3 linked regions of the Drosophila melanogaster genome follow. The protein of the gene in region 1 purifies or fractionates together with the protein of each later gene. This does not show direct contact. Each region holds a gene or a part of one and is shown in the gene's direction. Other genes may lie near its edges.

Region 1 (3,996 bases):
ACGTGCTTTGTTTGGTCTTGGGCAGCACAGGGCAATCTGCCTTGACTGCGGCGACTGAAGGAGCCCCACCTGCCATGTACTCCATACCCTTTTGCATCATGTACTCCATTTCTTCCATGGTATCATTGAAATGCAACGAATTTTCCTTATTTTCAACGCTCTTCTCCGCTGGTTTCTGCTCAGTGTGATCTTTTCCGTGGACTGAGGACACACGGGACGTGTCTTCTTGTTTTACTTCTGGAACTAGCTGCACTTCTTCATCGTCAGAAGAGGATAGCTCGATTATTGTATCCTCTATATCGTCCTCTTCCTCCTCGACCTCATCCTTCGGAAGTGAGGCCAGCTCTCTAAGACTGCCATGAAGATCGCTTAAGAGCTCCAGCTCCTCTCCCTTGGACATTCCTGGTGGCTTGGCCTTGGCAATTGCGGCGTAAAACAATTCGTCGACGTTTAGGAGCGTTCCACTGAGGGAAGTATCCGTGGCTGTTTCGTAAGAACTAGATGCATTTGTCTTTAGGGTGCGAGCGCTTTGGAAGCTTGTGTGTGAAGACACATCAGACGACTCCAGTTCGCTGTCTTCGATGATGGTTGAGGGGCGAAGCAGCCCCACCATTTTGACAGGCGAAACCTTGGTCAATGCTTTAGGAGTCAGCCCAGAGTCGGATGAGGTCTCGTCCATTCCGGCCAGGGTGTTGTCCCAAAAGCGCGACGGCGCCTCAATGTCCTCCAGGTGAGTGCACTCCGCCCCCTTGACGGGACTTTCGTTCTCCAATAGATCGTCTTCTGTACCCACTGCCTCTAGCATGCGACGCAGTGCATCGATCTCTTTCTGATCGTCGGTGCTATGATCCCTAGCCCTGGCCATCACCTGACTCCGGTCCTCGCTGTGCAGGTACTGGAAAAGAGTGCTATCCGGATCGGAACCGGTTTTGTCGCACATGCGCTCAAAGGCACTGAAGCTATCATCGCCATCGTCCAAGTGCTCCAAGTCACCTGCCTCGTACATAGTATCCTCGCCGAGATTAACAGTCCTTTGACTGGCAGAATTAACGGCCAGAACTTTCTTGGCCCGCGCCTCCAAGGGTCTCCTCAAATCCTCGTCGATCTCCAAACTATAGCGCATATCCTTCGTTTCGTCCATTTTCACGGGCTTTTTCGGCAAGCTGAAAAAGGAAAACTGTTATTAGTTTTCTCAACTAAATTGTATGTGTGTCTAAACTGTCCAAACTATTTATGCGTACTGTTTCTCTAACAATTTTGACATGCAGGTGGCTTGTTTGAAAGTAAATGACTACAAATTCATCGAACACTAGTGCAACACTATCCAAGGATGGGTTTCAATGTGTATTTACCGCTCGGTCATTAGAAACTGACGGAGTTTCTGACGCCATTCCTCAGTGTTTTGGAATTTCTTGAGGCCAGACATCGTGAGTGTGCGAGTGTGCGTGTGTCCTGGGTGCAAAACTCCAGTCGACGGGATAAACACGTATAATTGCGCGTTGACTATAGTTCAGAGGATTTAGAGTTCGCTCCAGTCGATCACCTACCTTCTGGCAATAGTATTCACGCAGATCTTCCTTAATCTTCAAGGCGCACACGCAAATATTTCATGGATTTCTTCACAGCACGCTCATTTGCCAACGATCGACGCGCCTTTGCAGTCGTTTATTTCAAATGCCACGACAGAGTGCCCGTATTGCGCTTATATTTTTGAATGGGGTATTCCAATGGACACTACACATATACATCATCGGAGTTATATCACTTATAACAAATAATAATATAAAATTAAGACAAATATGTCTACCATTAAAAGCAATTGTACTGCTCCGTAACTTTTAACATATATTATTTATTATTATTATTTTGTGTATATATACAGACATATTGAGCTAGCTAGTGTTCTTAACAATATATAATATTTTTATAAGAACGTTACAACTTCTTGTATCTCTGTAAATAGAACAAAATCGCGAGCCCCCTATTTTCGGTATATTTTGGTGATATCACGGTCACACCGGCGACTATGCAACTAGAAATGCCGGGTCAGTGAAAGATAACAAACAAACTGCGTTCGGCGAAAGTACTTAAGTTAAGTTAAAAATTTGAAGTAGGCGAGAGCACATAATGAACGCACTCCGTCACACGATATCCCTGGTATCGCTGGGCACCTTTCAACTGGTGCGCCGGACCAGGGGGCCGCACGCCAGAGGCTTTCTCCTCGGCACGGGATTGGGCCTGGCCAGCTTTTCGGCGGTCACGTACGCACATTCCGCGGAGGCTGTCGACCCAAAGGTCAACGGGGTGCAGATGAACACCTCGCGGTTCATGGCCGAGCCCATCACCGACTCCAAGGCACTGCTGGGGGACAAGGAGAACATGCGTCATCGCATGGAGATCCTGATCATGGAGATCCAGGCGGAGTTTTGCCGCGCCCTGGAGGCGGAGGAGAACTGTGGCCAGAAGTTCAAGGTGGACCGGTGGGAGCGGCCTGAGGGCGGAGGCGGCATCACTTGCGTCCTGCAGGATGGCGATGTGTTCGAGAAGGCAGGCGTCAATATATCCGTGGTCACCGGTTCGTTGCCCCCGGCTGCAGTACAACAGATGCGGGCTCGCGGCAAGAATCTGAAGGAGGGCGCCTCGTTGCCGTTCTTTGCCAGCGGTGTGAGTGCCGTGATCCATCCGAGGAATCCCCATGTCCCCACCATTCACTTCAACTATCGTTATTTTGAAGTGGAAACTGCCAAGGGGGAGAAGCAGTGGTGGTTTGGTGGCGGCACGGATCTGACGCCCTATTACCTCTGCGAGAAGGACGCCTCCCACTTCCACCAGACGCTGAAGTCCGCCTGCGATGAGCACGATCCCACCTACTACCCGCGCTTTAAGAAGTGGTGCGACGACTACTTCCGCATCAAGCATCGCAACGAGAGCCGCGGCATTGGCGGAATCTTTTTCGACGACATCGATTCGCCCAACCAGGAGGCGGCCTTCAACTTTGTGTCAAGCTGCGCCAGGGCCGTGATTCCCTCCTACGTGCCGCTGGTACGAAAGCACAAAAATCGGGAGTATGGCAACAACGAACGACAGTGGCAATTGCTGCGCCGCGGGCGCTACGTGGAGTTCAATTTGATCTACGATCGTGGCACCAAGTTCGGTCTATACACGCCTGGAGCCCGGTACGAGAGCATCCTGATGTCCCTGCCCCTGCACGCCCGCTGGGAGTACATGCACGAGCCCAAGTCCCAGTCCGAGGAGGGCAAACTGATGAAGGTCCTGAAGAACCCCAAGGATTGGGTCTAAGCTATTTTTAATTGTTCTTAAGAGGGAACCGGTGCCTTTTGCATTATATTTAAAACTTAATGTGTACATATTGTAATTGTTGTTGCAAATAAACATGACAAAATGTTATTGTTTCCTAACTATTTATCCATATTTGAAAAACTAGTTTATTCCATTCAACATACAGTATACATTGGCAAATAATACTATAAATTGGACTCAACAAGTAAAATTAAATACATAATGTTAATGAATTTTAATTTTATTACGAGTTATGAAATTCATCTATGAAATGCAACAAAGTATGAACAAACTCAATAGACTTCGACTTTGACTCATTACTTTGCTTCTCAATACATAATTAAAGGGCCTGGAAAATAAATGTTTTACAATATAAAGTATATATGTATGGTGCTGAGTCATGGTGAGACAGCAAAAAATCTATAAGAAAAATTTCGGAAATTTTTACCCAATACCAATATTAAAAATGAACACATATACATATACATATACAGCCGGTCTAATATAACAGGACCTGTCGACATGACTTCATGTATGCATACGTACATATCTACTTTTTAATTTTTCATCATAGTTTTTTTTTACACAACTGTACCTTTGAAAATTTAAGCACATACGCACATACATCATGAATGGTATGTATGTATACATGGTATACATACACAATCATCATGTATGGCTTGGCTTTCACAAACA
Region 2 (4,196 bases), on another chromosome or scaffold:
ATTTTACTTATAAATCAAAAAACAAATTAAAAATATTAAATATACAAGAAAATAAACAACAAATTCCAAGTTTACACACTTTTGAGACTGTCAAGAAACTCTTTACACAAAACACTAAATCGAAGTTTAATCCTAAATTTTTTAATTATTTTATTAAAATTTTAAAAGTTTTGGTATGTAGTATGTTCCCCATTGGCTTTAGCTACAAGTTGAAGCCTTTTTTTCATGGATTGGACAAGTTTTTGCAGGTCATATTCAAACGGGATCTTTTCACACTCTTCGACTATTACAGTCATAAGCTGTTGTTGTGTTTTAGGTCCCTTTTTGCCACCTTCTTCTTTAAGTAGGTCCACAAATTTTCAATGGGGTTCAGATCAGGACTCTGAGGGGGCGTATCGATCACTTTACCACAGTTATTAAGGCGCCAGGTGCGTACATTGCACTCTTTATGTTTCTGATCATGTCCTGGTAAAACTTAAGATTTGGCTTGTTGTTGCTAACTAGACCGAATTTTTCTGCACTGGCCTTCAAATTTGTTTTTTAACATTTCTAGATATTGCACGGCAGTTATTGTGCTCTCAATTAAGGCTAGTTTTCCCACTCCACGGCTGGTGATACAGCCCCAAACCATCAGTGACATTTTTCCAAATTTTATCGTTGGAATGATATTTTGTTTTTCTAGCGCACTCAACGGTTTGCGCCATACTCTGCTTGGCCCGTCGTTATAAAAGAGCATCATTTTTGTTTCGTCACAAAATATGACGTCATCCCAGTACTCTTCCGCATGATCCATCATGCTCACAGCGAATTAATGACGCTTTTCCATATTGGCATCTGATAGCAAAGGGTTTTTCCTTGCAAATCTTGAAGAGTACCTATGGCGTAGGATGACTTGGCGCACAGTTTCGTGTGACACAGTTAGGTGGCATTCTTGCCTGATATCCAGAGCAAGTGATCTGACCGAGATTCGGGGGTTCGCAATCACTATTCGCATAATAAAGCGGTCTACACGCTTTTTAATTTTAATTTTCCGCCCACCACCGCTCTTAGGTTCAAGCCTGCCCTCTTTTTCCGAGCCTTTTAAAACATTGTAGACGGTCTTACGGGATACAGGAAACATTTATACTAATTCTGGAAAAGATTTTCCCAACTGGTGGTTATAGTTTATTAATTGGGTAACTTCAAAAGTTAATCTCTTTCCAGGCATTTTATTAAATTTAATAATTCGCTTTAAGCACGTTTGATCAGCAAAATTTCACAAGCAAAGTCAACAAAATTTCAATAGAAGCGTTGTAAAAAGCAATGCAAAGCCAAAAATAACGGAAAAATCGAGTTCGTTCTAAGAAAAAGAACAAAACAAAGTAGGAAAACAAAATGTGTAAAGAGTTTCTTGACAGTCTCAAAAGTGTGTAAACTTGGAATTTGTTGTTTATTTTCTTGTATATTTAATATTTTTAATTTGTTTTTTGATTTATAAGTAAAATAAATATTGTTTAATTATATTTTATAAAAAAATTGCGTTTAATTAAGCAAAAAACCCTTTATTTTTAGCTTTAAAGTCAAAAATTCAACTTATTTCACAGTGTGTAAACAGTTTCTTGACAAACTGTATATATTTTAATAAAGTTTATAGCGTAAGTAAAAGTTAACTGAGAAAGTGTTTTTTACTTAAAAAAAATTGGATAGATCATAGCATGGCCATACATCGCTTTTGATTCGCCAATGCAGCACAGATATTTTTTCTAAAATAATATTCTTTCAAAATTGCAGTTACGCGTTAATATGAAATGAAAATTCAAATATTTCATAATGAAATTTATGTTGGCAATGCTGAACTATGCATTGGTGTCGGAACGACAGTATGGTATTTTTGCGTATTACGGTCACACCAATGCCGGCAGAACAATTTGTTATTAAAACAAAAAGAGTTAATTATAGCGCTTAAAAGGTAACAGCTGTGCGTTTGCATTGTTGCTTAATGCAAGCAAGTTAACTACCCTGCAACTAAAAATAAATATTCAAATCGGAGCTAGGCAATCGCATTGGCATTGGAATTTTAGTAGTTTTGTAAACTATATTTGTTTAAATCGGTTACACGCTGACAACTATAAATTATAATAGCAGTGAAGTGAATGAAATTGATAAGCTTATCTTTTCGGAAGCGCAGCAACAATAAGCGCGTTCCACCAAAATCAATTGAAGTTCTGCCCGTTGAAATAGTTACTTTTTTGACTGCGTGGCTACAAGTTGTGGGCGTGTTCGAATTTTGGGTATGTGCGTACAGTAGAGACTGGCTGACACGGACGGAACAAGGATTTAGTACATAGAAGGAGTATCTTTTCTTTGAAGTTTAGTTTTGTTCCTAATTAACATTCAAAATTATATATCTTTACATAATTTACAAAATTAAAGATAGTTGGGCGACCACTGTACACAGATTTATTATAAATATAAAGAGCGGCAATAATTGTAAAGGCCGCGTGTAATAAATAGCGTATAAACCGAATCCAATAGCCATATACGTACGTGGATCTCGTTTCAGCCCAATCATGTCCAAGTACTTATCTGTCCTACTGCTGTCCGCGGCACTCGTTGGAGCTGCCAAGCCGGAAGATAATGAATCGTGCTATTCCTTCGCCGGCGGCTCCGTTTATCCCGACCAGCCGAAGGGCGACCATCAGCTGCAGTACACCAAGGCAGTCAGTGAGTTCCATTGGATGCAAAAAACCAGGGATCACTATTAAGTTGCTGCTACCCTTATTTCCCCAGTTTCCAAGCCAGCTCCGCAGTTCGAGGGCACCGCCGTGGTTAATAAGGAGATTGTGAAGCTATCATTGTCCCAGTATCTAGGGAAATATGTGGTGCTACTCTTCTACCCACTGGACTTGTAAGTTTACATTTACATTTAGTATGATCGCATTTCTCATTGCCATTTTAGCACCTTTGTATGCCCAACGGAGATCATTGCCTTCTCCGACCGCATCGCCGAGTTCAAGAAGATCAAGACCGAGGTGATTGGCGTCAGCGTGGACTCGCACTTCACCCACTTGGCCTGGATAAACACGCCGCGCAAGGAGGGCGGCCTGGGCGACGTGAAGATCCCACTGCTCTCCGATCTAACGCATAAGATCAGCAAGGACTACGGAGTCTACTTGGAGTCCAGCGGTCATGCGCTGCGCGGTCTCTTCATTATCGATCAGACCGGAGTGCTGCGACAGATCACCATGAATGATTTGCCCGTGGGACGCTCTGTGGACGAGACTATTCGTCTGGTTCAGGCCTTCCAGTATACGGACACCCATGGAGAGGTTTGCCCAGCAGGTTGGCGGCCAGGTGCCGATACGGTAGGTTTTTTGAAGCATTGCCTTAGGTAAATTCTTTTTGATACCATTACCTTTACAGATCGTTCCCAATCCTGAGGAGAAGACGAAGTACTTTGCCAAGAACAACTAGGGACAGATAGAGATGCACATTACCTTAGTAGCCTAGCCCAGTTACATTCCTAATGTTCACGACTGAATCACGATGCAAACGAACAATCGCTAGAGTCCTCTGTACAGAAAATCCAAATCCGCAATGCCACCGATTGTGAATATTTCGCATTTGCTTTGTACAAAACATAGTTTGTTTATTTTACAGCATAACTGAGATATAAATAAATTCATGAAGTACATGTGAAGGTGATGAAAATTGCGCGGCGCCACAGGAGCGGTACCAAAAAGGAGGAGATGTTTTCGATCTCAAAATGCCTTGAAAGCTGGCTCACTAGGCCACTCTAATGGGTAACAATTCGATTGCAATTAGTTTCATACAAAAATATATGTAATATGTAATATGTAGTAGGTAAAAGGTAATAGTAAATTAGTTAGGTACGCCATGGTTGCAATTAAGTTATCCTGTGCTCCGACCTATGCGTACAACAAAGCTAGGTCTGTCGAGGTATATAAATCTGGGGAAACGGGACGGGGGCGACGACAATAACTAGGACGTCATAAGGCACTCGTTCTCGTCGGATTCTTCGTGTGTAGTCTGCTTTCTGTTTTCCGTTTTGTGCGTTTGTCAGTAAGTGCTTCATTGTGGTGAGCTTTAAATGCCAAAACCGAGGTTCATAAAATAACGAAGGTGCAACTGCGGTTCAGATCCAAGTTGTGCGGGAGATTCCTTTGCTGCGGAGATTCCGTATCGATCAAAGCGTT
Region 3 (4,372 bases), 2.9 Mb from region 1:
TCCGATACGATACTACCATGGTTGCATTCAGAGACATCGATAGTTGGCCGCCATCTTTTCACAGAATTTTTCCTTCCACGTGCGATGACGAAACTCGTTCATTTTATTTCAAGACTCGAAATGGTAAGTTGTGTGCTCTTCGTAAATAGTTTTATATCAAGTGAATTAAAGTGCTTAAATGGAAGAGTGTTATGCCTCAAATGATGAAACAGATGACGAGACTGAAGGAACAAATTCTCGACTTGGCGCTGTATTTTTCAGTGCCTCGTTATATATTTGTTCATTTAAGATGATTCGGCGATCTGATGGCATATAACTTCAAGAACTTTCTTTGGGTTTGGCAAGAATATGTTCTAAAAGTTCTGTATTTCTTGCAGTGAACAATATTGAAACCCTAAGCATTTGGATAAATCGAAATCCGGGCACTCCACGTGCATGGTGCATGTGAGACACCTCGGGACAACATGTGAGCCCGTTGAGACACCTTGGGCACTGAGCCCACTGGAGACGCCATTGTCACATTGGAGGTAAGATATTAATACTTTTGGTTGGTCTATGCTTCTCTGATGATCTTTTACACAGACCTGTACTGAGCTCATAACCGTGCAGAAAATTGTAAACTGAAACCTAATCAAATATATAAAATATTTGGAAGTACTCCTTGTACACACTGTATTGATGCCATTTTCTTTTATTTCCAGAATTTACATTCTGGTTTGAGGTTATGTATGGGTCCAGCTGCAGCAGCGAGCACATGGATTTACCGATAAAGGTAATTTATTTACACTAACATTTTTATGTTTGAATGCAATATACGTTTTACTGATGATTAACTTCAACACCTTTTGCGGTTTCCACCAGAAAGCTTCGGCTTAATGATGGTCTAAGGCGTCTGACTAAAAAGTTTCAATAAAAACTTTATTATACTTAAACTAGCATTTTACTTACCTATTTTATCTCTTGTTTCCAGATCAACTCAGAAATGTGGTTTATCGCAGGCAAATATAACTAAATGAGCTCGTTTATTCGACTGTATAAGGTAATATTTTCGAGAATTTTTTTTTTTAAATTAATAAATAAACTGATGATTACCTTAAACACCTTTTGCGGTTTCCACCAGAAAGCTTCGGCTTAAGGATGGTCTAAGGCGTCTGACTAATACAAATATATATATTTCGGCTGTCTTGAGATGATGTATTTAATATATTTTATATTTTACTTTAATTGCAGAGTGACGTTGCCTTGTGTAAAAGATCTTGATATAAAAAGAATTGGACATCTTCAAATACTAAAATAAATAAACTAATAAAATCAAATAATCACGAATTGTATATATTTTTTATTGTTATTGGGATGGTGGAAAAGAGCCGCAATTTGTTTAATCAGTTGTACAAATAAAGTATTGACCTTAGAACAAAGTTATAGATAGATAATGCTTTATAATTTGAATTTACCGTGCTTAACTAAACTGGTATTTATCGAACAATTTAGCACAATTGTAAGCGCACTTTACGAAAGTAATTTAATGAGATTTCCTAGTATTAAATAGAGCGCTTCCCAGAGCACTGAGAGAGTACAAAGATATTTGAATGATTAATAGTAGGTAAACAAATCTTCAAAATTGCGCGCCCAATTGTCATCCCTATTTTCCACCCCTCACTTTCGATATCGATAACATGGAAAATGAGACGCGCCGGTTTAATCAAACCGCTGTTGCGTATAAATAACGAAAAACAACGTGTTTGGAGAAAAAACTACGCTACCCAAGTGGTTTCCGGCTTGGAGGAGTGCTCACTAGACCCCAAGGAGTATGTGGACTTCAAGCGGCAGCTGCGGCAGCTCAACTTGCCCCACAAAGACGGACACACGTGCTTGCAGCTGGAGTGTCGCCTCTGCGATCGCAATAGGCAGCCGGTGACAAACGCCCAAAAGGGCACCGATCATGGGCTGCTGGCTTACGTAAACAAGCGGACGGGTGAGAGCACCAATTACATTTCGCAAAAAAAACCGTAGTATATTCAATTTTCCTTTAGGAGCCTTTATCTGCCCCAATTGCGACGTAAAAACCTCACTGACCAGCGCTTTATTATCCTATCAGTTGCCCAAGCCGGTTGGCTATAAGCAACCGCTGCAGAGGCAGCCGGTCTATGAATCCCGATTTCCCCACCTGGCCGTGGTTACTCCCGAGGCCTGTGCAGCTTTGGGAATCAAGGGCTTGAAGGAGGACCAACTAAATGCCATAGGAGCACAGTGGGAGCCGCAGCAACAGCTGCTCCACTTTAAGTTACGCAATGCCGCGCAAGTGGAGGTTGGCGAAAAGGTGTTATATCTGGGCGATCGACGGGAGGAGATCTTCCAGAGCAGCTCCAGCTCCGGGCTGCTGATTCACGGTGCGATGAACAAAACCAAAGCGGTTCTAGTCAGCAATCTAATTGACTTTATTGTCCTTGCCACACAGAACATTGAAACGCGTAAGTGAAAACATAGCTTTTAGGAATATTTTTCATTGGTTGCAGAATAGTGAAGAAATCCTAGGGTGATATATTTAAGATATCAATTAAAAATAATTTGGAAACCAGTTTGGCTCAGCTAGTACACATTTAAGATATAATTTAATTTAAAAATTAAATTGTCTCCTAGATTGCGTTGTATGCCTGCCCTACGAACTGAAGACTCTACCACAAGAGTGTCTGCCCGCCTTGGAACGCTTCAAAGAGCTCATCTTTTGGTTGCACTACGATGCCAGTCACAGCTGGGATGCAGCTAGAGCTTTTGCGTTAAAGTTGGACGAAAGGCGATGCCTGTTAATCCGACCTACTGAGACGGAACCTGCGCCACATTTGGCTCTGCGCCGACGACTCAATCTGCGCCACATCCTGGCCAAAGCGACACCGGTGCAGCACAAGGCCATCACAACATTCGGAGCAATGCGAAATGACATTCTCAGCGAGTTGCAAAACATCGAGAAAGTCAATGGAGTAAAGTGGAAGCGCTTTCCAGTACTGAATAAGCTGCTCAAAGGCCATCGGAGGGGAGAGTTGACAATCCTCACAGGACCCACGGGTAGTGGAAAGACAACCTTTATGAGCGAGTACTCTCTGGATCTGGCCATGCAGGGCGTAAACACGCTGTGGGGCTCTTTTGAGATCCGAAACACCCGGCTGGCGGCCACCTTGCTTCGCCAGTATGTGGGCTACCCGTTGGACGACCGGTTGCATGAGTTTAACCACTGGGCAGCGGAGTTTGAGCGTTTGCCGCTATACTTTATGACCTTCCACGGACAGCAGCCCCTTAAGCCGGTTCTGGAAGCCATCGAGCATGCGTCGTATGTGCACGATGTGATGCACGTGATCATTGACAATCTGCAATTTATGATGGGCGTGTCCACATTTCGAGGCGACAAGTTCTTTGAACAGGACTCTATTATAGCTGCCTTTCGCTCCTTTGCCACCAAGCACAATGTACACGTGACACTCGTAATGCATCCGCGCAAGGAGCGGCAGGAGGACGAGCTGACCACCAGCTCGGTTTTCGGCACAGCAAAGGCCACCCAAGAAGCGGACAACGTGTTGATCATTCAAGACAAGAGGCTGACTTCTGTGCGGGGCAAGAAGTATCTCCAAATTGCCAAGAATCGTTATTCCGGCGACCTGGGCATCATGCCACTGGAATTCGACAAAGACGGCTTGAGCTACTCAACCCAGATCCAAAATGCCAAGCGAAAACGGGAAAAGACGCCATCCGAGAACTGATTAGTAAGGCATTTGTTGTACTATAGGTTATAATTATTCTGTTGTCTATGGTTAGTTTAGTCTTAAGTGCATCCTTTGATAAACTGCATCACGTTGAGCTCTGCTTGTAGTTCTTGGTGTTCATGATCTTCTTGCCGCACATGGCGCATATGGCCTTTTTGTAGGCGCACGCCTGGCAATAGTGCGAACCCATCTGGTGCACTTTCTGTCGGCAGATTCTGGATAATTAAAAATCAGATTAAGATATGCAGATGAATTCTTGAGGAGATTTCCCTACCGGCAAGGTGGTAAAGCAGTCCCTATGGGATTGTATCGCTCGCGGGCCGAGGATAAAGCCTTGTTCTCGTTGATTTTACGTCCTCCCGCAGGAGCTGTGCTCGTTCGCCAGGGATTGGGCGCTGAAACTTTGGAGAGCTTGGCCTCGCACTTCTCGCAAACCATTTTTGTTATCAATTCAATTTGTTTTTTATTTACGTTTTGCAAAAACAGAGTGACCATTCCATTGATATTAATATCGATTGTTTGCTACCGATTGACCGCATATTTCCCAACTAAGTGTCTATCGAAGGTTGTTATCGACCATCTCAATTGCAAATTTTGGAAGCGTAAAATGACTACAG

What was found. The genes of interacting proteins can lie anywhere in the genome.
Region 2: the proteins of Coprox (region 1) and Prx4 purify together in Drosophila melanogaster (affinity purification with mass spectrometry, with the first as the bait; one large-scale study listed by BioGRID). This does not show direct contact.
Region 3: the proteins of Coprox (region 1) and mtDNA-helicase purify together in Drosophila melanogaster (affinity purification with mass spectrometry, with the first as the bait; one large-scale study listed by BioGRID). This does not show direct contact.

What each region holds. Positions count from the first base shown.
Region 1 is NT_033779.5:6,962,392-6,966,387, forward strand, and holds Coprox (coproporphyrinogen oxidase), read left to right. Parts: upstream 1-2,029; 5' UTR 2,030-2,127; coding exon 2,128-3,300; 3' UTR 3,301-3,496; downstream 3,497-3,996. Other genes in the region: sip2 (septin interacting protein 2), read right to left, coding at 1-1,163, 1,353-1,426. UniProt on the Drosophila melanogaster protein: Involved in the heme biosynthesis. Catalyzes the aerobic oxidative decarboxylation of propionate groups of rings A and B of coproporphyrinogen-III to yield the vinyl groups in protoporphyrinogen-IX.
Region 2 is NT_037436.4:3,040,503-3,044,698, forward strand, and holds Prx4 (peroxiredoxin 4), read left to right. Parts: upstream 1-1,856; 5' UTR 1,857-1,948; intron 1,949-2,047; exon of another isoform or gene 2,048-2,270; intron 2,271-2,542; 5' UTR 2,543-2,549; coding exon 2,550-2,703; intron 2,704-2,769; coding exon 2,770-2,887; intron 2,888-2,938; coding exon 2,939-3,344; intron 3,345-3,402; coding exon 3,403-3,453; 3' UTR 3,454-3,672; downstream 3,673-4,196.
Region 3 is NT_033779.5:9,890,731-9,895,102, reverse strand, and holds mtDNA-helicase (mitochondrial DNA helicase), read left to right. Parts: upstream 1-1,656; 5' UTR 1,657-1,683; coding exon 1,684-1,975; intron 1,976-2,033; coding exon 2,034-2,471; intron 2,472-2,640; coding exon 2,641-3,752; 3' UTR 3,753-3,840; downstream 3,841-4,372. Other genes in the region: CG4537 (uncharacterized protein), read right to left, coding at 3,841-3,970, 4,030-4,193; CG34183 (uncharacterized protein), read left to right, coding at 4,363-4,372.